2 linked regions of the Elephas maximus indicus genome follow. The protein of the gene in region 1 interacts with the protein of each later gene in a pairwise test. Links are inferred from orthologs where the notes say so. Each region holds a gene or a part of one and is shown in the gene's direction. Other genes may lie near its edges.

Evidence for each region.
Region 2: the proteins of CLK4 (region 1) and UBL5 interact in a two-hybrid assay, tested with the Homo sapiens proteins (2 studies listed by BioGRID and IntAct). The link is inferred for Elephas maximus indicus from reciprocal best matches to the Homo sapiens genes CLK4 and UBL5.

The regions. Positions count from the first base shown.
Region 1 is NC_064820.1:198,870,257-198,882,904, reverse strand, and holds the start of CLK4 (dual specificity protein kinase CLK4), read left to right. Parts: upstream 1-7,380; 5' UTR 7,381-7,508; intron 7,509-12,242; coding exon 12,243-12,406; intron 12,407-12,648. UniProt on the Homo sapiens protein: Dual specificity kinase acting on both serine/threonine and tyrosine-containing substrates.
Region 2 is NC_064821.1:27,998,430-28,010,214, forward strand, and holds UBL5 (ubiquitin-like protein 5), read left to right. Parts: upstream 1-6,269; 5' UTR 6,270-6,378; intron 6,379-6,700; 5' UTR 6,701-6,711; coding exon 6,712-6,767; intron 6,768-6,967; coding exon 6,968-7,051; intron 7,052-7,194; coding exon 7,195-7,232; intron 7,233-7,723; coding exon 7,724-7,767; 3' UTR 7,768-7,861; downstream 7,862-11,785. UniProt on the Homo sapiens protein: Ubiquitin-like protein that plays a role in cell proliferation and sister chromatid cohesion by associating with spliceosomal proteins. Participates thereby in pre-mRNA splicing by maintaining spliceosome integrity.

The DNA.
Region 1 (12,648 bases):
ATTTTTTTCCCAACATTTCACAACATAAAAACCATTCTTAGCTTATGGGCCATATAAAAACATTGGCCTGTAAGCCATTTTTTCAACCCTTGTGCTATATTGTTAGCAGGGATTGCAAATTACTCTCTTCAAATCTTCATTAGATCTGGTACAGAGAGCAGATAATGATTTAATGATCGGTAGGTTGTTGTTGGGTGCCATCTGGTCGATTCTGACTCATAGTGACCACATGTGACAGAGTAGAACTGCCCCATAGGGTTTTCTTGCCTGTAACTTTTATGGAAGCAGGTCACCAGGTCTTTCTCCTGTGGAGAGGCTGGGTGGGTTTGAACTGCCAACCTTTCAGTTAGCAGCTGAGTCTCAGTGCTTAACCATTTGTGCCATGGGGCTCCTAGCGGTTACTATAGAGGAGTTGAATCATGCACATTAAACGTAAGTGAATTCAATATACTTACTCTGAAAGGGAGAGAACAATTTACATAGATTAGTGACTTGGTCTCCGAGGGTTGCAATGAGTCGGTAACGACTCCATGGCACCTAACAACAATATAATTCAGCAAGTTCCCGTTCCAGCAATAATATTCTTCTTTCATTCTACAATGGAGGAACTTGAGGCTCAGTAGAAACTCAATTACTGAGTATTGATTGTAAATTTGGAGCACGAGCTCTTCGTTAGCAAGGATTTGAATGATAGATCAAGTCATGTAAAAAAGAAAGGAGAGGAACCGGATGTAAAGGTCATTCCCGGCACTGCGAATCAGATTTCATGAGTGTGTTAACAGTATGGTGGTCACTACAAGAATGCCCTCGATCTTAGGAGTCAGTGCTAAAGTATTTAGAGTTGAAGGGTTGTGATGACTGTAGCTAACTCAAATACCTCAGAGGAAAAAAAAAAAGACTATAAACGTGAACAGATAAAACAAATATAGCAAAACGCTAACAAATCTAGCTGAATGGTATGTGGATGTTCAATGCAGTAATCTTTTGAAATATTTTTATTGAGGTATGATTCACATACCATAAAATGCACCTTTTTTAAAGTTTACAATTCAGCGTTTTTTTTTAGTATATTCACAAGGTTGTGGAACCAGCACTACAATCAAATTCTGAAACATTTCATCGCTACAAAAACAAACCCCATACCAATTACTTACTCTCCATTCCCTTCTCTTCCAAACTCCTAATCTACTTTCTGTCTTCATGAATTTGCCTATTATGGACATTTTGTACAAACGGAATCATACAACATGTAGCTTTTGGGTGTAACTTCTTTCGCTTCATTTGATTTTCAAGATTCATGCATGTCGTAGCATATAAAGCCAAAAAATCAAACCAACTGCCGCTGAGTGGATTCCAACTCATAGCGACCATTAGGATAGAGTAGAACTGCCCCATGGGGTTTCCAAGGCTGTACCCTTTACAGAAGCAGTCTGCCACATCATTTTCCTGCAGAGCAAGGGGTGAGTTCAAACCACCACCCTTTCAGTTAGCAGTCAAGCACTTAACCACTGCATCATCAGGGCTCCTTGTAGCATATATCAATACTTAATTTCTTCTTCCTCCTTTTTTTTTTTGTTAACAGCTTTTTTGAAATATAATTCATATACGATGTAATTCGCCCATTTAAAGTGTACAATTTCATGTTTCTTTAGTATCTTCACAGAGTTGTGCAACTATCAACCCAATCAATTTTAGAACACTTTCATCAGCCCCAAAAAGAAACCCCATACCCTTTAGATCACACCCCATCCCCTAGATCCCAGCCCTAGGCAACCACTACTCTACTTTCCGTATCTATTTCTTTGTCTATTCTGGACATTTCATATGAATGGAATCATATCATATGTGGTCTTCTGTGACTAGCTTCTTTCACTTAACATAATGTTTTCAAGGTTCATCCATGTATCATTACTTCATTTCTTTTTATGGTTGAATAAATACTCCATTGTATGGATATACCACATTTTGTTTATTCATTTATAAGTAGATGGACATTTGGATTGTTTCCACTTTTTGGCTATCAATGTAGTATTCCAGCAACTCTTCTGTAACTTTGAAATTTTTCAAAATAAAAGGTTATAAAGGAGTGAAAAGGGGGAAAGTATGCATGTGTGCGTGTGTATGTGTTATTTGTAAATGCGTGGAATACCTCTGGAAAGATATTCAAAATATTAATAACATTGGTTGTTTCTAAGGAAGGAAATGAGGTAGGTGGGAGCAGGGATGAGAGATTCCTTTCATTGTAAACACTTTTGTACCTTTAGAAATTTAAAAACTAATTTTGAACTGTATAAATTTCAAATTTTAAAAAGCATATTCCTGAGACAAAAGAAAATTTGATAGCAAACTAAATTCCATCAACAAGGTAATTGTTAAAAAAAAAAAAAGATGACATATATAAATATTTATTGGTGTGAAAATTTTCTACAATATATTAAGAAGGAAAAATAAGTTACATTATGAAACTTAAATAAAACAGTGCAAGCAGGCATAAGGCAGAGATGCCTATTATCACCGTTCCTAAGGGAGACAGGAGCCCTGGTAGGGCGGTGGTTAACAGCTCAGCTGCTAATCAAAAGATCAGCAGTTCGAATCCACCAGCTGCTCCTTGGAAATCCTATGGGCAGTTCTACTCTGTCCTATAGGGTGACTATGAGTCAGAATCAACTTGATGGTAATGGGTTGACAAAGTGGTTAAAAAGAAAGCATATAGTCCTTGGGTCTAGAAAAACCTGTCCCTGGTGGTGAATCAGAATGAGGTTCAGTGAAGGTGAAACATTAACTTATGCATTGGCTGGAGGTACTTGAATAGTATAAGGACAACAGTAATTTTAATTGTGGAGTTGTTTATCTTTAGTTGTTTTAAAAGCCTAGAAAAAAGAAAACGACAAGCTCAGGCCAGCCAGCCGTCAACTGAAAGCACACTGTAGTATCAGAAAGCCTCCATTACCTTTTTTTTTCCAGTTGCTGTCAAGTCAGTTTCAACTCATGGTGACCCCATCTGTGTCAGAGTAGAACTGTCTGATTTTTCAGAAGTAGATCACCAGGGCTGTTTTCCAAGGTGCCGCTGGATAGACTCAAACTCCTAACCTTTGTACCACCCAAGGATTCCTCCTTTGCATTTAGAGATCTTTATCTCCTGTAGGGTAACCCTAATGGTGTAGTGGTTAAGTGCTAAAGCTGCTAACCAAGAAGTCGGCAGTTCAAATCCACCAGATGCTCCTTGGAAACTCTACAGGGCAGTTCTGCTCTGTCCTATAGGGTCGCTATAAGTCGGAATCGACTTGACAGCAGTGGGTATCTCCCGTACCACAGGGCAGACTGTGTTGAAAAATCAGGCCTAGGATTTAATTGCAAGGGTAGCAAAGCTACAAAGGAAACTGAAGTCATAGCCTTGATGGGCTCCTATTCCAAAATTCAGAACTCTGAGAAAGAAGCACATCTCTAATGTGTTTAATATCTGTCTTTCCCATCTACTACTCTCAGATCCTACACACACACATATATACATATATATACATACATACATACATATATATACTGGTAACTGAACAGCGGTAGAATTCTTACCTTCCACGTGGGAGACCCAGGTTCAGTTCCTAGCCAATGTGCCTCATGTGGAACCACCACCCATCTGTCAGTGGAAGCTTGTGTGTTACTGTGCCGCCAAATAGCTTTCAGAGGAGCTTCCAGACCAACAGACTAGGAAGAAAAGCCTGGCAATCAGTCAAATCTGGGAGGATGGTGCAGGACCAGGCAGCATTTTGTTGTGCATCGGATTGCCATGAGTTGGGGGCCAAATGGACCAAAAGAAACAACAGTAGCAACAGTTGTGGTTTAAATGTGTAGATGGTATTGTGTTATATCTGCATAGACGGTATGTATTGTGTTAAAAATCACACTTATAAGTCACAGCTATCATGGTCCCTCTGTCACAGGTGTATTCAAAAGTTACATCCAACTGTGACCCTGTCCTGAGCCCCTTTCATTGGTGGTACTGGACATTATTGACAAAGAGATTGGAAAGACGAGTTGATTGTATTTCCTACAGAACCTCTAACTTAAACCACTTCCCATACTTCTCCGCATACACTCCACACACTTTGCAAAGTGTGTTGTGTGTCACAGAATGCTTCTGGCATTGTTGTGCTCTGTGAATCTCCTCACCACCACTCTCAGGAAACACCTGAGAAACCTGGGACGTTATTCATCTTGGGCAGAGTAGGATGCATAGGAGACCCTTTGTGACTCGCTGTTCAACAGCAAGTAGGGGACACTGGGACCTTTGATGGCCTTGATGTACTGGAGGTAAACTGATCCATTGTTTCATCATGAGGAGCCTTCAAATAAATAACCCTGGGTTGTGGTTATTTAAAACAAACTCTTTTGGTCTTGCTGAAAGATGGATTCGGCATGGTTTCCCCTAAAGATTAAGTAAAGTAAGTTGCTATGTATTTTGTTATATGAGTTATAGCCGTTCAGTAGAATGTAGTAAATGCAAGAGCATTGGAGCAAGCAAGGCCTGGATTTAAATCCTAGCCTGGCACTTGATAACCATGTGATCTAGGGCAAATAACCAATGATCACCTTATACGGTTATTTATATTATTAAATGAGTTCATGTATATAAAATGGTTAACACATCGTGAGTAGTTAATTGATAGCCAAAAAAAAAAAAGGAACTGAATTCAGATGAATAAATTATTGGTGATGAGCAATTATAACGTAGGTATTAAGATTTTTTTTTGTAAAGGTTTCTCTATAAAGCTTTTGCTAAACAATTTACACAATTTAGACTTTTACTCTGAAACTTCATTTATAGATGAGTGTTTTCAATATCTGAAGTTAAGTATATAGAATATGCATGTTCGAATATATGAAAGAATATTCCTCTGGTTGTAAAAAAATAAATAAATATAAATACAAATAAAATAAAAATTTTTATTTTTTTTTTGCTCTTCAAAGCTAAGATTTTCCTCAAATGGTTGTTTTTAACACATGGTTTAACTTAAGGTTTTCTTGAACATACTTGTTTTTCTGTGGAGATGAAGCTACTTGATTAGGAAGTTTTTTCAGTGTTGGTAGTGAACTTGCAGAAATTTATTTTTTTTTTTTTTAAACAATGGTGTTCATTTCCAGGGAACTGACTTAATGGAGAAGGTTGAGGCTGCCACGTGTTATTAAGAGTGTTATTAAGCTAACTGCCGCAGGGATCCTGGAAGCAAATCTTTACCTTTGACTTAATCAGTTTAGAATTTAAACCACTGAGCAAAGTGGCCAAAAGTAGCTTATGTAAACAACCTATTAATGTTTAGTCCATTCTGGGCACTAAAAGGAGACAACCAAGCAAAATATAAAACAGGGTCCTTGTTCCCTGCTGAAGCACAAAGCCACAGATGACAATCAGGAGCACCACAGTGCCGTGTAACGTGTCATAGATACATTTGGTGTTTTTCAGCCCCCTTGTGATCACTGTACCCTTTCAAATCTTAGACCTTTTGGTGGCACATTTAAAATACTCAAAACAACACTAAAACAAGTAATTACAAAGCAGATTCCACTACTGAGTAACAGTATCTTATAGTATCTGTAAGAACCTCTGCAGTTGACTCCTCCATGTGGCTGCCTTTTAACCCCGTGTTGCTATTTGAGTAGTCTGTGAGTTGGAATTGACTCGATGGTGCTGGGTTTTGGTTTTTGGGTATACTGTCCTGACCACACTCACATCCTCATGAGACAACTCTCTCTCATACTCCAACAGACAGGGAACTTTTCTTTGGTGCCAGCTTGAACTTACACTTAATATGCAGCAAGTTGAGCCCCACTTTACCTTACAAGATCGCCAACCCTCTCAGCTCAATGTTCTATCTCTGAAACAGTACGTGTGATCACTTGCAGAACCAATAAATTTCACTATTTAGGCAAAATTGGTTGGCATGCTTGATTGGCCCTAGACACACCAGCATGCCTTTACCCATTATTTGAAGACTTCAACTCTAACTGAAGTAGCCAAGAGCAGGAGATGGGTGGAAGCTGATGCGGTCAGGGACAGCATCTTTAAGGAGTTGAACATTAAAGGACAGGTAAGATGTAAATCTATAGATATGGAAATAGGGGGTATTCCAAGTGAGGAGAATACGATCATCTCAGTTTCATTCTGTAGTGTAAAGAATTTTCACTTTCAATTGTCTTTTCACTAACCTTCTTGAAGTAAGGTACAATCTCAGTGAGAATTCAATTTACCCAAAATAGGCAGCACAAGTTTCTATGTATCACAAGTATCTAACATCTGTGATGTTAGTTCACTAAATGTATCACAGTGCCCTCTGTTCATCTAACAAGGTAAAAGAATTCAGGTATCCCACATGCTATAGGAATAATGACCACAACAATGGGACCCTGCCCTTCCAATTTTAATTTCTGCTTTTCCTTTTTATCCAGGGAATCCTTGAGAGAATACAGAATCTCCCTGACGGCAACGGGGTGGGTTTGCTGACACTTCCCAATATTAACAATATCTGAATACCTGACCCCTTTGTAACATTTGACAGTCAGCCTTTCTGTTATTGAAACACTTTCCTTATTTTCTCTAACATCAAACTCTCAATGCTCCTACTCGGGCTTCTTCTGTCCCTTAAAGCGTTCCCCAGTCTTTGGCTGTCTTCTCACCTTACATCTGGGGATTCTCAGAACTGCAAAGTATCTTTTTCTGAGGTAAGCAAGCCGCTTAATGGACGCTCACTGGCTCACAGCCATTACCCCTGCTTTGGCTGAATTTTAAAATCAACCCTCAGGGACAAATAACGGGAGGACTTCGTTAGTAAAACTTCCAGCTACCATAGCTGTCCCAGGAGCAGGAACCATAACAGGAAGAACCTCGTAAGAAACTTCCTCTTTTTTTTTTTTCTTTCTGCTTAGGAGCCTGTGCCTTTAAAAAATAAGCACCCCTGAGCTTGTTTTCTGAAACATCTTTATTCTAAACCCATTTGAGACCGAAAGCTCCAAGTGGACAGGGACTACGGCACAGCGTGGGCTTTGAGGGTTTTTGTGTTGTTTCTTGGCTGCCTCTGAAGTTGAGGGCGTGGGGGATGGGGCGGAATGGTGGAGAAAGTGCGACAGCGCGTCACCCTTGACGGGAAGAGCAGGTCAACAGCCACGGGCTGGCCCTGCCGACAAGCGCAGCACTTTTAGCTCCACCTTGAGGCGCAGACACGCCCTACATGTTGTGGGGAGAGTACTAGAGTTTCACCGCGGTTTCACTCAGAGCGACTGTACGAATCGCCGTTGCCCCACCAGGCCTCGAGGCGGGGCTGGTTGGGTCACAGAGCCCCGCCCCTAGGGGCGGGGCCGGAGCGCCAGAGGCTCTGTAACGCAGGCGCGTTCGCGCGTCGTAGGTGGTGCTAGGGGCCGCTACCGCCATTTTGTGGGGTTTTTGTCGCAGTAGCTGGAGGGGGAAGACGGCGGTTTGGCGACGTTTCTCGCCCAAAAGGCCTTTTGCTTTTGGAGAGGTAAGGTATAGGATGGAGTGTGCTTGGCTGGGAGACTTATGTCTCAAGGCCAGGTGTCGGAGAAACGACTGGGTTCGGGGCCTCGGCGCTTGTTGATGAGTTGGGGGTTCCTAAGAGGTACTGCTCAGCTGGTGGCCTTAAAAACCTAAAGTTGCTCGGGCGTCATGGTACATCTAAAGTTCTGGGGCGGAAAGGCCCGCGGTTCTGCTCTGACCCTTACCTGAGGGCCCCTGTCTCGTGCACCGCGGCTCCGCAGGCCCCAGCCTCGTACCGATGTTGTGGCTAACGGGCCGGGCGGGGTCTTGGTGATCCCTTCAGGGCCGCCGCCGCCCGCTGGAGCGAAGACTTGCCGAATGCGGGGACCAGCAGTGCGGGAGACCCTTCGAGAGCCGTTTCTGGAGTTTGGGGTTTTCCAGAATCAGATATTTGCCGGGATCTGTGAGTGAGGCAAAGGCCCCAGCCGGGGGCCCGGGGCGGGGAGGCTGGGCGGTGATGGAGGCTGGGCGTCAGAGGAGCTGTGAATTCAGAAAACCCGCGTCATCGAGTCGATTCCGACTCAGCGATCCTGTAGGACACAGTGGAACTGCCCCATAGGGTTTCCAAGGCTGTAATCTTTAGGGAAGTGAACTGCCACATCTTTCGCCTGCTGAGCAACGGCTGGTGGGTTCGAACCGCTGACCTAGCATCCGAGCGCTTTAACCACTGCACCACCGGGGCACCTCCTGCGAGTCCAGTTGGTGGAATTTAGCTCAAGCTTGGAAGGTTGAAATATGGGAGGTTCGTCATTTGTGCGGTGCGTTTTCTTCCTAAGGTGGAGCACACCACTGTTAACAGCTAATCTGTATTTCTGATAATTTTGCATCGTATTATTCGTGATTACTCACGTAGTCCAGCTATGCTTATCCAGTTCTAAGAAAACAACGCTCCAAACTGACCGGGCCAACCACTTGGCCTCCCTTTATAGTCTTCTATGTGATTGTGCATCACTCACGCACCCACAGGCTTCGTGTTACTTATTAAATGCTGTCTTGGAGCCGACTAGTCATAACGTCTATTTTGATGTTTTTAAGCCATGTACATAGCATTAAGTGTCGGGTATCATAAGATTTTAAAAATGTCAGGAAAATCAGATTTCCAGTACAGGTGCATGCATACGGATGGATCCCGTGTGTCTGTTTTTATGGAAAATATCTGATGATTCTAGCATATAGGGTTATTTTTAATTAGAGATAATTTAATAATTTCTAGGTAGTTTGTGTGTGTGTGTGTGAAGGAACAGTCACTGAAGAAATCTTTACCTTCTGAGAATATATTTCTGAGCATTAGGGGAAAAAAAAACTTCCTAACAGTAACTGCATTAAATTTGAAGTAGTGACACTTGATTACCCAAACAACCCAGTGCTGTGGAGTGGAAACCAACTCATAGCGACCCTATAGGACAGAATAGAACTGCCCCATGGAGTTTCCAGGGAGCACCTGCCAGATTCAAACTGCTGCTGACCCTTTGGTTAGCAGCTGTAGCACTTAACCGCTATACCACCAGGGTTTCTGAAACTTGATTACAGAAATACAAATCTTGGGCTCTCACAAATAGTTCATTATTGAGAGCTGGAACTCCAAGGATCTGCCTTGTTTTTTCCAGGTCTTGTAAGTTTTCCACCTTTGACAGGGCATACAGCCTTACCACTTGTCTATCGCTCTCTCTTATAGGGAAGTATTTGAATTTTCCTTTTCTGAGAGGTTTCAGTCTTACCTAGGTTCCAGCTTTCACAGGTTTTAGTGTAATAACTTTGTTTATTTGAGAATGCTGCCTTGCTGGAGGTGAGCCTGTTGTGGCCAACTGACAGTAGGAAGGGGAAAAAAACTAAACCAGACACATGTTTGGCAAAAAAACTGCACAATAATGGATGGTGGTCATAATAACCGTTTATCAGATGTGATTTTGCCTGCTCTTATTTGTTTGAAAATGCTGAGAAGCTATTTTAAAAAGTTCCCGATGTGGTTAAAATTCAATTTTGGTAATTCAAGGAAGGTATCAGAAGAATTCCACTAGAAAATAGAAATGTTTTTTATGGCTCCTCTGAAGAAAGTTTATTTTTTGGCTTTTTGCTTCGGGTAAATTTGCATGCCCTTTAGTTCATTTTCCCAAATTTATGTCCCATACACGGAGCCCTGGTGGCGCAGTGATTAAGTGCTCAGCTGTTAACTGAAAGGACAGCATTTCAAACCCCCCAGCCACTTCAAGGTAGAAAGACTTAGCGATCTGCTTCTGTAGAGATTATAGCCTGGTAAACCCTGAGGGGCAGTTCTATTCTGTCGCATGGGGTCGCTATGAGTCAGAATCGATTCCTTGGCATCTAACGGTAACAACACGTTTCATACTTAAGTCAGACTACTTATTTCCGGTGAGATGCCTAGCAGGTGTTTTAGGCAGGGTTTTGAACCAGTTATTTTCTGTTTGACTGCCTGCTGAGAATTTGCATTTACCCCAGAACCACCTGAGGGTCTTGGTAAACTGTAAAAACCAGAAAACCCATTGCTGCCAAGTGGATTCCGACTCACAGTGACCCTATAGATAAACTGTAGATTCAGTATATCTGGGGTGGAAGAGCAAATTCTTAGCAGGGGGTCAAACCGAAAATAAGCTGTTGGAAGCCCTGGTTTTAGGATTCTTGTTTGACCTGATCAATGTCTTCTCCTTTCTTAAACAAGCTCAAAGAGAAGTCACATTATCAGAAGAACACTTTACAGGCGTAGAGTTAGAATCAGCAAGAGGAGTTAAAGAGATCTGAATATTTGGTGGCATCAGGCCCTGATGGGATGATATATACAGTTTTTTAAGGAATGCCTCCCAGGAGAGTTGAACTGCCTCATTTCAAAGTCTCATTTTAATCCACTTGGAAATTGACATTTTCACTTGGCATTTGTTTGCTGGTTCCCAAGTCACTTGAACAAGCTGAATGAGGTTAACTCAATTGGTTTTGTTACATTTTAGCCTTTTCCAATTCCTTGCTGAAGTTGTGAAATTCTTTCCTTTTTGCCTTTTTAAGCTCACCCTGTTTAACAGAGTTTAGACGTCACTTAAAAATTTAGTTGCTTTGGAAAAGAGTTAAGTTGGGGAGAAGCAGATCAGGATGACATTGAGCACAGATACTGAACCTGGAATGAGCCTATGTAATTGAAGTTGTAGATGGTGTCAGGGAATTGTCACCATCATTCTTCTGATTTGACTGTGACGTACTTCACTGTGCAGCTCCTAGGTTGGTTTCTTTTACAGAGTGCTTCAGAGCTGTAGCAGCTAGGTTTAAGAATAACTGTAGAATGATCTGAAAATAAACTGGTTGGATTAAAAAAAAGTGAGTTCATTAAATCACATCTCTTTATTGGCCTTCAGTTTCTCTGTTGAATACTGTTCTCTTTACCTCCTATTATTTTCAAAGGTTGGAGTCATTCTGAGATTTATAGAAGGGAACTCTGCAGAGTTTGAGAGAGTTAAATTACTTTAAGACAAAGTAATTTCCCACATTTAATATCCCTGAGTGTTTTTGCTGACTTCAGTTATTTGTACTATATAGTATTTTTGCCAAAGCTGGGTGACACTTGTCATATTATTTATCTTTAAGTCAACTCAGATTTTAACTTTAACAGTTTTAAGGAAATCATATCAATAACTTAATTAGGAAATCAGAAATTAGTTGTCATAAAGAAGGTAATTGTAAAAATAAAAGAAAAACAAAAGTATTCATTTCTAGCTAAATACTGTTATTTACTGAAGGCTGTTTGCCCAAGCCCTGGCACTTTTGTTTTCAAAGGACAATGAGCAAGTGTTAGTTGAAGATAAACATCAAGCCGAGACTTTTTCCTGGGTGTAATTGAAAAGATTGAAAGAAAATGTATTAAGGTCTTACAGTATTGGTATCTAGATCTGTATGCCGCTTAAGTCATCTTGGTCTAGTGCCCCATGATGGGGAACATTACCTAAAAAGATTTTATTTATTTATTTACTGTACTTTAGATGAAGGTTTACAGAACAAACTAGTTTCTCATCGAACAGTACACACGTTGCTCTATGACATTGGTTAACAACCCCATAACATGCCAACACGCTCCCTTCTGTTCCCTATTACCAGCTTTCCTGTTCCCTACTATCTTCCAGTCCCTGCCCCAGGGCTGGTACCCACCTTTAGTCTTGTTTTGTTCCATGAGCCTGTTCAGTCTTTGGCTGAAGGGTGAACCTTAGGAGTGACCTCGTTACTGAGCTGAAGGGTGTTTAGGGGCCATACTCCCAGGGTTTTTCCAGTCTCTGTGAGGTAAGCAAGTCCGGTCTTTCTTTTTGAGTTCGAATTTTGTTCTGCATTTTTCTCCAGCTCTTTCCGGGACCCTCTGTTGTGATCCCTGTCAGAGCAGTTTTGGTGGTGGTAGCTGGGCACCGGCTAGTTGTACTGGACTCAGTCTGGTCGAGGCTGTGGTAATGTGGGCCATTAGCCTAAAAAGAATTTAGATAGAGGACATTGATCTTCTGTTAAGGGTGGTGGAAAAATTTGGAAATGGAGGATGGTGATGGTTGCACAATATGATGAATTAATGGCACTAAATTGTACCAAAAAAAAAAAAAAGATTTTAGAGCCTGTGTGCTGGGTTTTTATGTTTAAATAATATTAATCTGTAATACTTTTTTAAACACAGCTATGTACACTATAACTTCCACAAATCCCTTTTTGTTTCTGTTAACAGATGCGGCATTCAAAACGCACTCATTGCCCTGATTGGGATAGCAGAGAAAGCTGGGGGCATGAAAGCTACAGTGGAAGTCACAAACGGAAGAGGAGGTCTCACAGTAGCACACAAGAGAACAGGCATTGTAAAAAACCACCTCCGCAGTTTAAAGAATCTGACTGGTAAATTACTCTTGAACTAGTAACATTTTAATTCCAGTAGTTTTTTTCGTGATTTGTCATTTACATACATAGTTTTCATTTGTCAAATTGTTTTATGATTCAGTCAAGAAATGTTTATTCATTGAAAAAAAATAACGAGTGCCTATTATGGGGCAAACACTTTATAGGTGCTGAGGCTACAGCTGTGACTAAAACAAAATTCCTATCCTCATGTGTCTATGTCTATCTGGCAGTGGCTGGAG
Region 2 (11,785 bases), on another chromosome or scaffold:
CTAAAAGCATTCCCCTTGAGATTGGGAGCCGGACGAGGATGCCCTTTATCACCACTCTTACTCAACATTGTGCTGGAGGTCCTAGCCGGAGCAATTAGGCTAGATAAAGAAATAAAGTGCATCCAGATTGGTGAGGAAGAAGTAGAAGTATCTCTATTTGCAGATGACATGATCTTACACACAGAAAACCCTGAAGAATCCTCAAGAAAACTACTGAAACTAATAGTTCAGCAGAGTATCAGGATACAAGATAAACATACAAAAATCAGTTGGATTCCTCTACACCAACAAAAAGATCATTGAAGAGGAAATCACCAAATCAATACGATTTACAATAGCCCCCAAGAAATTAAAATACTTAGGAATAAATCTTACCAGAGACGTAAAAGACCTATACAAAGAAAACTACAAGACACTACCACAAGAAAAAAAAAAAAAAGAGAGACCTACCTAAATAGAAAAACATACCTTGCTCATGGATAGGAAGACCTAACGTTGTAAAAATGTCTATTCTACAAAAAGCCATCTATAGATACATCACAATTCCGATCCAAATTCCAAAGACTTTTTTTAATGAGATGGAGAAACAAATCACCAACTTCATATGGAAGGGAAAGAGGCCCCAGATAAGGAAAGCATTACCGAAAAAGAACAAAGTGGGAGGCCTTACTCTACCTGATTTTAGAACCTATTATACCGCCACAGTAGTCAAAACAGCCTGGTACTGGTACAACAACAGATACATAGACCAGTGGAACAGAATTGAGAATCCAGACATAAATCCATCCCCATATGAGCAGCTGATATTTGACAAAGACCTGAAGTTCCTTAAATGGGGAAAAAATAGTGTCTTTAACAAATGGTGCTGGCATAACTGGATATTCATCTGCAAAAAAATGAAACAAGACCCATACCTCACACCATGCACAAAAACTAACTCAAAATGGATCAAAGACCTAAATATAAAATCTAAAACGATAAAGATCATGGAAGAAAAAATAGGGACAATGCCAGGAGCCCTAATACATGGCATAAACAGTGTATAAAACATTACTAACAACACAGAAGAGAAACTAGATAACTGGGAGCTCCTAAAAATCAAACACCTATGCTCATCCAAAGACTTCACCAAAAGAGTAAAAAGGCATCCTACAGACTGGGAAAAAGTTTTTTGCTATGACATTTCCGATCAGCATCTGATCTCTAAAATTTACATGATACTGCAAAAACTCAACTACAAAAAGAAAAATAACCCAATTTAAAAATGGGAAAAGAATACAAATAGGCACTTCACTGAAGAAGACATTCAGGTAGCTAACAGATACAGGAGGAAATGCTCATGATCATTAGCCATTAGAGAAATTCAAATCAAAACTACAATGAGATTCCATCTCACTCCAACAAGGCTAGCATTAATCCAAAAAACACAAAATAATAAATGTTGGAGAGGTTGTGTGCATTCCCACCTCAGGACCTTTGCCCTTAGTGGTTCCTCTCATCTGGACCAATTATCCAAGGTAGTCGTACAGCTGGATGCCTTAACTTCATTCCTGTCTCTATAAAAACTGATGACCACATCAAAAATAGTATCCTCTGCCACTCTCTACCTCCTTTACTTTGTAGCTCTTGTCACTCCCTCACAAAAAAAGGCTTGTACATCCCTTCCCCCTTCTTTCTGCCTTGAACACGAATTAGATGCCTCATGCTTTGGCAGCCATATTGCAATCATGCGGGGAAAGGCCAAAAAAAAAAAAAAATCACACAGACACTAGCTCCATATATCACTGAGCTATTCATCCAGCATTGCCTACATCCAGAATTTTCATCATGAAAAAAATAGCCACTTATTTAAGCAACTGTTAGCTTTCTGACTTGAAGCCAAGAGCATTCCTAACTTTACACACTGGCTCTTCCCTCTGCTCAGAACATTCTGATAACTCCTCATAACTCCAAAAGACAAAAGAGCTCCTATTAGTCAGAGCTTATTGTGTGCCAAGCACTGAGATAAGCGTTTTACCAGTATTATCTCATTGTATTTCCACAACCCTAAGTCAGTGGGGGCAGTGGTGGTTCAGTGGTAGAATTCTTACCTTAGGTTTGATTTCCAGCCAATGCACCTCAGATGCAGCCACCACTCATCTGTCAGTGGAAGCTTCCGTGTTGCTATGATGCTAAACAGGTTTCAGCTGAGTTTCCAGACTAGGAAGAAAAGCCTAGTGATCTGTTTCCAAAAATCAGCCAGTGAAAGCCTTATGGATAACAAGGATCCAATCCGCAACTGATCATGAGGATGGAGCAGGACCGGGCAGCGTTTCATTCTGTTGTGCGTGGGGTCACCAGGAGTCAGGGGCCGACTCTACTACAGCTAACAGCAAGTGATCGACACTAGAGGAAGCTGAAACTTAGAGGTCAAGTCACGTGCCAAAGCCACAAGTCCAGGTCTTTCAGATGCCAGTATCTGGGCCTCTTCACAGTGCCCTGTATCGTGCTTCACTCTGGAAAGTCATGCCATCACGCTGAGCAGTGCCCCCTCTGTGCTTCCCCCTCACAGCACTTGTCACTGTATTACTGTATGAACCTCTTCACCTGTTGTCATGGATTGAATTGTATCCCCAAAAATATGTGTATCAATTTGGCTGGGCCATGGTTCCCAGTATTGTGTGGTTGTCCTCCATTTCGTGATTGTAATTTTCCTATGCGTTGTAAATCCTAATCTCTGCCAGTGGTTAATGAGGCAAGATTAGATTATGTTAAAGAGGATTAGGGTGGCATTGTAACACCCTTACTAAGGTCACATCCCTGATCCAATGTAAAGGGAGTTTCCCTGGAGTGTGGCCTGCACCACCTTTTATTTTACAAGAGATAAAAGGAAAGGGAAGCAAGTAGGGAGTGGGGGACTTCATACCACCAAGAAAGAAGAGCAGGAATGTGAGTCTTTTGGACCCAGGGTCCCTGTGCTGAGAAGCTCCTCGACTAGGGGAAGGTTGACAAGGACCTTCCTCCAGAGGCCACAGGGAGAGAAAGCCTTTCCTTGGAGCTGATGCCCTGAATTTGGACTTGTAGCCTCCTAGACTGTGAGAGAATAAATTTCTCTTTGTTAAAACCATCCACTTGTGGTATTTCTGTTATAGCAGCACTAGATAACCCAGACAGCTGTCTTCCTCCTCTATCAAAAGAATTCTGGGGTGCCAGGTAGGCCTTCTTCACCGCTGGTTCTCCAAGACCTGCTGCAATGCTTGCATGTTGTTATGGACTGAATTGTGTCCCCCAAAAGTATGTGTTGTAAATCCTAACTGCTATACCTATATCCTGGAAACTCTGCTGGTGTAGTGGTTAAGAGTTTGGCTGCTATCCAATAGGCTGGCAGTTCAAATCCACAAGGTGTTCCTTGGAAACCCTATGGAGCAATTCTACTCTGTCCTATAGGGTCGCTATGAGTCAGAATTAACTCGACGACAATGGGTTTGGTTTTTTGTTCTGTTTTGTACCCGTAGTTATAATTCCATTTGGGAGTGATTTTCTTTGTTATGTTAATGAGAAAGTATTAGCATAGGGTGCATTTTGAGTCAATCTCTTTTGAGATATAAAAGGAGCAAATTAAGCAAGGAACTGAAGAAGCAGAGATAAGGGAAGATAGATGCCACGATAGATGAAGATCATCAAGGAGCCAAGGAATAGAAGCTGAGAAATAAGGGCCTTCTCCCAGAGCTGACAGAGAGGGAAAGCCTTCCCCTAGAGTCGGTGCCCTGATTTCAGACTTCTAGCCTTCTAAACTGTGAGAAAATAAATTTCTCTTTGTTAAAGCCACCCACTTATGGTATTACTGTTACAGAGCTAGATAACTAAGACAGTTGTTAAGGAAAGAGACCTCCTGAGCAACTCCTCCACCCCCAAGATGATTTCTTGCCTGGTAAACTCTGGGTGTATGGGGGATTGCTTTTAAGTTCAGCAGAACCCAGGTGTCCCTGCTCCCAGCTCAGTTACAGGGGGTTCCTAAAAACCATCTCATGCCCACCCCACCCAGCAGATAGGAGTGGAAAGGGGTATCAGGTGGGAGAAAAGAACCTCACATACAATCTCCCTCCTCTGACTCAGAAACCCAGGAAACAAGGGGACAGAGAGGGCTTACCCAGCTTGCTCCCTGGATCAGGTCCCAGAACTCTCCCTCCTGGAAAGCACCTCCCCACCCCCCAAAGAGCAAATCTGACAGTAGATACTGTCCAGACAGTGGGATGGTTCCATCCTGGCCCCTCTGTGGGCAAGACCTGGGTCCTTCATGCACAGCTGTGAAGTTCCCAGTTATAAATACCATGGTGCAGGGAGGGGTCACAAAAGGTAAGGTGTCCTGTCTCATGAGGGCCCTACCCCTCCTACCTGGGCCAAGGGGAGGGCATTTTCAAAGCAGTAGCAGTTTAGTCCTGAGACCTCTCATTGTTCTCAACTTCCTTCCCCCTTAACTTAACACAGCTGCGGCAGGTACCCCCATTTCCCAGCAGACCCCCACCACTCCCCATGAAGCCCCCAGCTCCCAATGATCCCAGACTTCATTTTCCTCCTCTCTCAGCAGTATTCCTCACCCCTTTCCAATCTCCAGCAGCCTACAACTCAGCACATGATCCTGAGTTGAGCTATCACTAAATCAAACATTGAGAAATTAGAACTTAAAAAAAAAAAAACTAACATTTACTTACCCCCTTCACCCCCTGATTACAAAAGCTACATGTTCAATAATGCAGGAAATCTGGGGAAACACCAAAAAGCATCAAAGAGGAAAATGAGACTCCCTCCAATCCCACCATCTAGGGGTAACCATCATTAACACCTCATATGACCCAGTATTTCTGTTTTGGACATGTTATCAGAAGGGACCAATCCCTGGAGAAGGACATCATAGAGGGTCAGTGAAAAAAGAGGAAGACCCTCGAGGAGGTGGATTTGACACAGTGGCTGCTGCAACAATGGGCTCAAACAGCAATGATTGTGAGGATGGTGCAGGCCTGCAATGTTTTGTTCTGTTATACATAAGGTTGCTATGAGTTGTTGCTGTTCTTCTTACATTGAAGAGGAAAATGAGATTCAGGGAGGGGAAGTGTCTTGCCTGAGACCATACAACTTAATTTTAAGAGGTGAGGTTTGTATTTTAACTCAGCCATCTGGATCCAAAGCCTGTGCCTCCAGCCTGAGTTTTTCACATTCACTGCCCTCCTCTGCCAACAGTCTGCAGCCACTAGAGGAATGATGGCTCAAAGTTCTGAGGCAGGAAAGCCTGATGTTTTTGATGGGACCCCAAGTCAGCTCCCTAAGGCAGGAGGACCTGACAGGACACCCAGAGCATCTGCCTTTTCCACAGAATGGCCTCTCCTGTCTTCCCCTTCATCTCACATCCTAGTTTGAGGAGGTGATGGGTCTTAAGAGGTGATCCCTTTTCAAGTGAATCCCACAGGGTCACCAAACTGGGAGAATCCAGTCTGCTGAGAAAGAACTATTCAACAATTCCATTGGTTGTTTGCAGGGGGCCTGCTCCCTGTCCCACCAGTCCAGGGGCTGCTTTGGGGCTGAAAGGCAAGGCTGGGATCTGGTACAAAGTGCTCCCAGTAGGGCAGGAGTGACCACCCTTGAAAAATCAGGACAAGGAGATTTTCCAGCTTCCTTGCTGCCGGCTGTGGCAGGGTGGCGACTGGCAGTTGGCTCAGGTATGCAACGTATACTCCAGTCCAAATAGCGCTGTTATTAAAAAACGGGATCAGTCGGCTCCTTTGCTTACTGACTGTAGTTTGCATCCCAGGTGCCCCGGGCGGGGGCGGGGGGAGGGGGGCTGGTTGTCAGTGGGGGCAGACGCTACTGTCAGAGGTGGGGGGTGAACACAACTCTTTGAGCCCAGCCCTGCACAAGGCTGGGGGCTGGACGGGATGCTGCAGGATTCGGTCCCTGCGCCCCGTAGCCCCGAAGCTGCAATGAGAGACTTCGTCCGGCTCAGGAACGGTAGGTCCTCCTAGGATGTTTCCTGGGCCCCTCCGGCCTCCTCACCAACTGACAGGGTCCGCCCACAGCGAAGGCGCCTCAACCAAAGGCTCCGGCGCCAGCCCTCACCTATTCCTTTACGCCCCTTCCCTATCCCTACACGGGCCGGGATCCCGGCTCGGCCCCACGCGCCGACTTCAGGAGTCCCCCTCTCCGGCATCGGGACCCCGAAAGCTGCGACCGGGAACCGCAAGGCAACACCCGCACCCAGGAACTAAAAGATCCCGCCCGGTGGCGAGGTGAGGGGGCCGTGCCTCCACGAGTGCACTTCCGCTTCCGGCTCCGAGCGACGCTTGCGGCCGGGTTTAGTGTTCAAGCTCCGAGGTTGTGGCGTCGGTACCTTCGAGGAGATTGGAGGTGAGGGGGCCGGGAGAGGTGACGGGTCTCGGCCGCCTAGATTCCGCAGGCCTGCGACTGTCGAGGTCGGAGGCCGGAGAACCCTGGGGCTGGGACTTCAGGCGACATGGAGGGGCGGAAACGCAATTGCCGAAGGCCCGCGGGCCTGGGACATCGTACTTAGGGCTCAGGAGGACTCAAATGCGAGGGTTTGGAGGGGGTGAGCGGAAGGCTTAGTGACTGGGGAGGTTGGGACCTGAGAGACATGGAGGCTGGGGTTTTAGAGGTCTGGGAAACCCCTGGAATCTTGACTTTGCCGCCTCCCATCCCTGGTCCTGTGTAGCTCCAGCCAGGATGATCGAGGTGGTTTGCAACGACCGTCTGGGGAAGAAGGTCCGCGTTAAATGCAAGTATCCTTTGGCAATCGAGAGGCAGTAGCCTCTGGGGGTGTGCTTGGCACGAGGCAGGCACTCAGTCGGTGTTGTGGGGTGGTTTTGATTAAACCCAGGAACGGGGGCAGATGGCGTCCTGACAGAGCGCTTTCAGCCCTGGAATCCCCTCTTCTTTTCCTACCTCCTCTTTGCATTTTCCTTAACTTCTCTGCTTCCAGCCCTGATGACACCATCGGGGACCTTAAGAAGTTGATCGCAGCCCAAACTGGCACCCGTTGGAACAAGATTGTCCTTAAGAAGTGGTGAGTGCAGTGGTAGAGCTGCGGCCAGAAGGTTTGGATTGGGGGAATGCTGCAGGCAGCCCTTTGCTTAGGCAGTGCTTCCTCAGCCTGTCTCTAGGGTAAGGACCTCCTGGGCTCCTTTCTGAAAGGTCTTTATCCCATAGGTACACCATTTTTAAGGACCACGTGTGTCTGGGCGACTGTATCCTTTGTGTGACTTCCCGAGAATGGGCCTGCTTGCCCCGCCGTGTTTCTCTTTGTTTGGTACCAGAGTCTAAAAGACTTACACACATAAAGTGTTTAGTATGTAGCACATGATAAGCATTTAGAAAGAGGGACCTATGTAATTATTTTGTTGCGGGAGGGGAGTGTTTGGCTGGTGAAATATTTTGACTAGTATTAGAAAACACTTTAAGTTCAAAATATTTTTTGAGTACTGGGTAGAGTAGACATCCTTGCTCCACCTGAGTGTTGGGCAGGAGGCCAGGATGGAGTGAAACTCAGGCATGTTTGTTACGCAAGGCACTGGAGCATGTACTGTTTTTATGTTTTGGATTCTCCCCAAATCAACATAGGCCAGTCCAAATGGCTTCCTTAGCCCTGGGCTGAGCCTTCATCCTGACCCAGCTGTGAGTGGGTGAAAGGGGTGGGGATGGAGCCCACCATGAGGATTCCTTAACACCTTCACTTCAGATGAAATCCACGATGGGATGAACCTGGAGCTGTATTACCAATAAGGCAGAATTCCTTCCTCCTCTTCTGCCCTCCCTCTCCCCTTCCCACACAGTGGTATGGAGGCTTGTTTTTACATTAATAAAAACTCAGATGCTGCTTCGGTGTTGTCTTCTTCATGTCAGAGCTGTCTGATGAGGGGGAGGGCTGGTGTCTGTCTGGTTGTCACTGTACCCTCAGTGCCCATTTGCTCAGTAAGAGTTGTTGATTGGGTCATTGTGGGAAGAGTGAGTCAGCAGAGTGGGATCCCAGAGCTCTGGGGTTTGCCCTAGGTCACTAAGGGTCCAGGCTTGGGATTGTCACCCTAGAAGACCAGGGAGCCTCTGGGTGGGGACATTAGTAGATGTAGTGGTTAGAAATACAGGCTCTGGATTCAGACAGACCCTGGGTGAAATCCCAGCTTTGCCACCAACAGCTGAGTGATCCTGGGCAAATTACTTAACCTCCCTAAGTCTTCATTTCCTTATTCAAAAACTAGAGCTAATGGTGTTTACTTCATTGGTGTGTTGTGAAGCATAAATAACATAAAGTATGCTTAAACATCCACAGTTACTGGCACTTAACAAAAATAAAAAATGAGTATAGTGGACAGCGGAAGGTAGTGTGGCATAGGCTGTAAGATTCCAGCCTTAGGAGCCAGACCAGCTAGGTATGCACTCTGACTGATCATTAGCAATGGGACTCAGGGAAGTCGACCTCTGATCCTCACTTTCCTCCCCTGAAAAGGACACCATGATGGTACTTACATCTCAGTGAGATAATGTAATTAAAACAGCACACTACCTGGCGCATAGTGCTGTTAGCTGTCCTTGGTCTTCCTCCATGTTTGAGTAGACAAGACAGCAAACATCCTGCCTCTGTTCCTCTGGCCACATGTCCTGGTGCTGACCTTGGCCCTGTCCCCTCCTAGAGGCTGAAGAGAGACCTGGGCCCAGTCTCATTCTGGAGCCCCTCCTTGGAAACCCGTTCCCAGAATCTTGCTCCATCAATACTCCGTCCAAGTTCCAACCAGCCTCTGCCTTTCTTTCACCACAAAGCTTGGAAAATGGACCTGCCTGCCACATAGGACGGTGCTGGTCTGTAGCTCATTGAAAATGGTCTCTCTTTGGTCTTCATTAGTGCCTCTCCCCACTTTCCTTCCATGGCTCCCTCCCTTTTTGGGGACTCCTTTTCCTCCAGGCATGGCAGAAATATCAGTCTCCTGGTACCCTTGCTCTTCCTACTCTTTCTGCTCTGTCTCCCCCATAACTGGCTCTGTTTAAAAACAAAAAATTTTTCAGTTATATGACAGGCTAAAGAGGTGATTCCTTGTTACTTTCAAATCAGCATAGAAGTGAACAGGCTAAAGATGAAAAACTCTCTCCTCCATTCTCTTTCCTGAGATCAGGCCTTTTTCAATGTGTTCATATAAACTTCCGTTTTAATTTTTAAAAAATTATGTGGATGCATGCTTATTAGAAAAATCCAAGTGTTTGTTAAAAACTTTATTTCTGATACCATCCCTTCCACCAGTGGCAGTCATTGACATATTTGAGTAAATCCAGAAATTTTTTGCAATACAATGTAGTTTTTATACAATTGGGATAATTACACATACGGTAATACAGGTATTCCTGACTTGATGTATTCGAGTATTCATATTCAACTTGCATCAGAACAAACTTATGATGGAGTTGTGGGAATGGAATTCCTATACTCATATATTAGCAGCTGACTTTTATATGCTTTATCTTTGACATCTTTCCATATTAATGATCTTTCTCATTCTCTTTTAATTATTTTATTGATTTTTTTGTTTGTTTCATTTTGCTCTTTTACATAAAAGGGCAGTGCAGGACAATTACTGGGTGATGGAACTGTCCTGTATGGATCTGTGATGGTGGATATAGGACTCTGCATTTGTCGATCAGGATATAGGAAGATAGGTGAAATGCAGGCTGTCAAATGAATCCGTGTGTACTACAAATTAATCACATGACCACACTTAACAGGTGGGAAAGAAAGGCGATAAGTTAAATAACTTTGGAAAAAGTATTTTGACTGAATAAGACTAAACACAAAAGAATCTAGTTGATAAATTTGTACCTTATAGGGGTTGTTGTTAGTACCTTTGAGTCAGTTCGGACTCACAGTGACCCTACGTATAACAGAATGAAACACTGCCTGTCCCTGTGCCATCCTCACAGTCATTGCCATGTTTGAGCCCATTGTAGCAGCCACTATGTCAGTCCATTTAGTTGAGGATTTTCCTCTTTTTTCAGACCCTCTACTTTACCAAGCCTTATGTCCTTCTCCAAGGATTGATCCCTCCTGATAACATGTCCAAAGTACATGAGATGAAGTCTCACCATCCTCACTTCTAAGGAGCATTCTTGCTGTACTTCCAAGACAGATTTATTCGTACTTCTGACAGTCCCTGGTATATTAAGTATTTTTCACCAACACCATAATTCAAAAGCATCAATTCTTTGGTCTTATTCATTGTTCAGCTTTTGCATGCATATGAGGCGACTGAAAATATGGCTTGGGTCAGGTGTATTTTAGACCTCAAAGTGAAATCTTTGGTTTTTAATACTTTAAAGAGGTCTTTTGCAGGAGATTTTCCCAATGCAACATGTCATTTGATTTCTTGGCTGCTGCTTCCATGGGTGTTCATTATGTTACTGGAGAATGGTCTCAATTCTTGTCTTCGGCGTAGGAAAGAATTCAAACACTGAGACAAATATTGCCAAGTGAGCAGAGGTTTATTAGCTAGCAGAGGGTTAATAGCAAAAGTACACTTGACTAGGGAGCATCAAACAGGCTACTCAGATATATAGAGTCTGAGAGCCCCAATAGTTGTTTTCTTAGGGTTTTATATCCTTGTCTCTTATCTCTCCCTGTTAACGTTTAACAGCCAAGACAGGGACCCCTATAGAGACTATTTCCTTGGCTTAAGGTTTAATTACCAAGTTAGGGACCCCTATATGGATCATTTCCTTGGCTTAAAGTTTAACTACGTAGGGACCATCTTACTGAGGAATGTCACCACCCCTTGTCTCTTCCTCTTCCAGAGTGCAAGCTCTCCCCCTCCCCCTTACAATTATGGATCCAAGTAAAATGAAATCCCTGACAACTTCAATATTTTCTCTGTTTATCGTGATCGTGATATTGCTTACTGGTCCAGTTGTGAGGATTTTTGTTTTATTTTGAGGTGTAATCCATACTGAACGCTGTAGTTTTTGATCTCCATCAGTTAGTGCTTCAAACCCTCCAAGTCCTCTTCACTTGCAGCAAGCAAAGGTGTGATATTTGGTACCGAGAGTGGTTCTAGAGAAACAAAGTCATAAGAATGAGTTTTCTAAATTTGTTCTCAAGTCTGACTAATCTAAAAGGTGCTGATGACTCTGCTTCCACCTGATGTCAGGTGGCAATATTAATATGCAAAATATCACTAACAGTAGATCAAATATTGGTGAGAAGCAAGGCTCTGGGTGATCACATGTTTGATACTTTTCTACAATTTTGTCAGAATGAGAAGTATAGGGAAACTGGTTGGTTGGTCCTACTTTTGCTAGACAAAATAGTGAAAGAAACAGATGACCTTGGGGCTTCAGAGTCACAGCTCAAGCACCACATAAAAGACCTCAAAGTTTCCACTTGTGCCCTGAAAGAAAGCCTTCTTTCTTGTAGTAACAGAGCTGATATTGCTGAAAACCAAACCCAGAAGCTTATCATAAGAGTGGATGAATTACAATGCCTCTGAATTCCCAACCTCCAGTGGTATCTGAAGTTAAAGTGAGGGTGTGGATTGGGAAGAAATGGGATCCTGAACCTTGGGATGGAGACATATGGGCAGATAATCAGGAAATTGGGGACACTGAGCCTCTAAATTCCATTGAATCATTCCTGCCAACAGAACCAACCCTTTTAACTCCCATCTGAAGAGGGTATTCCATGTTTGTATGGGAAGCCACACTCCCCAGTAAAACCATTATCCCCTCCAGCCCCATCTGATGAGATTAACTCAGCTGTATCTGAAGA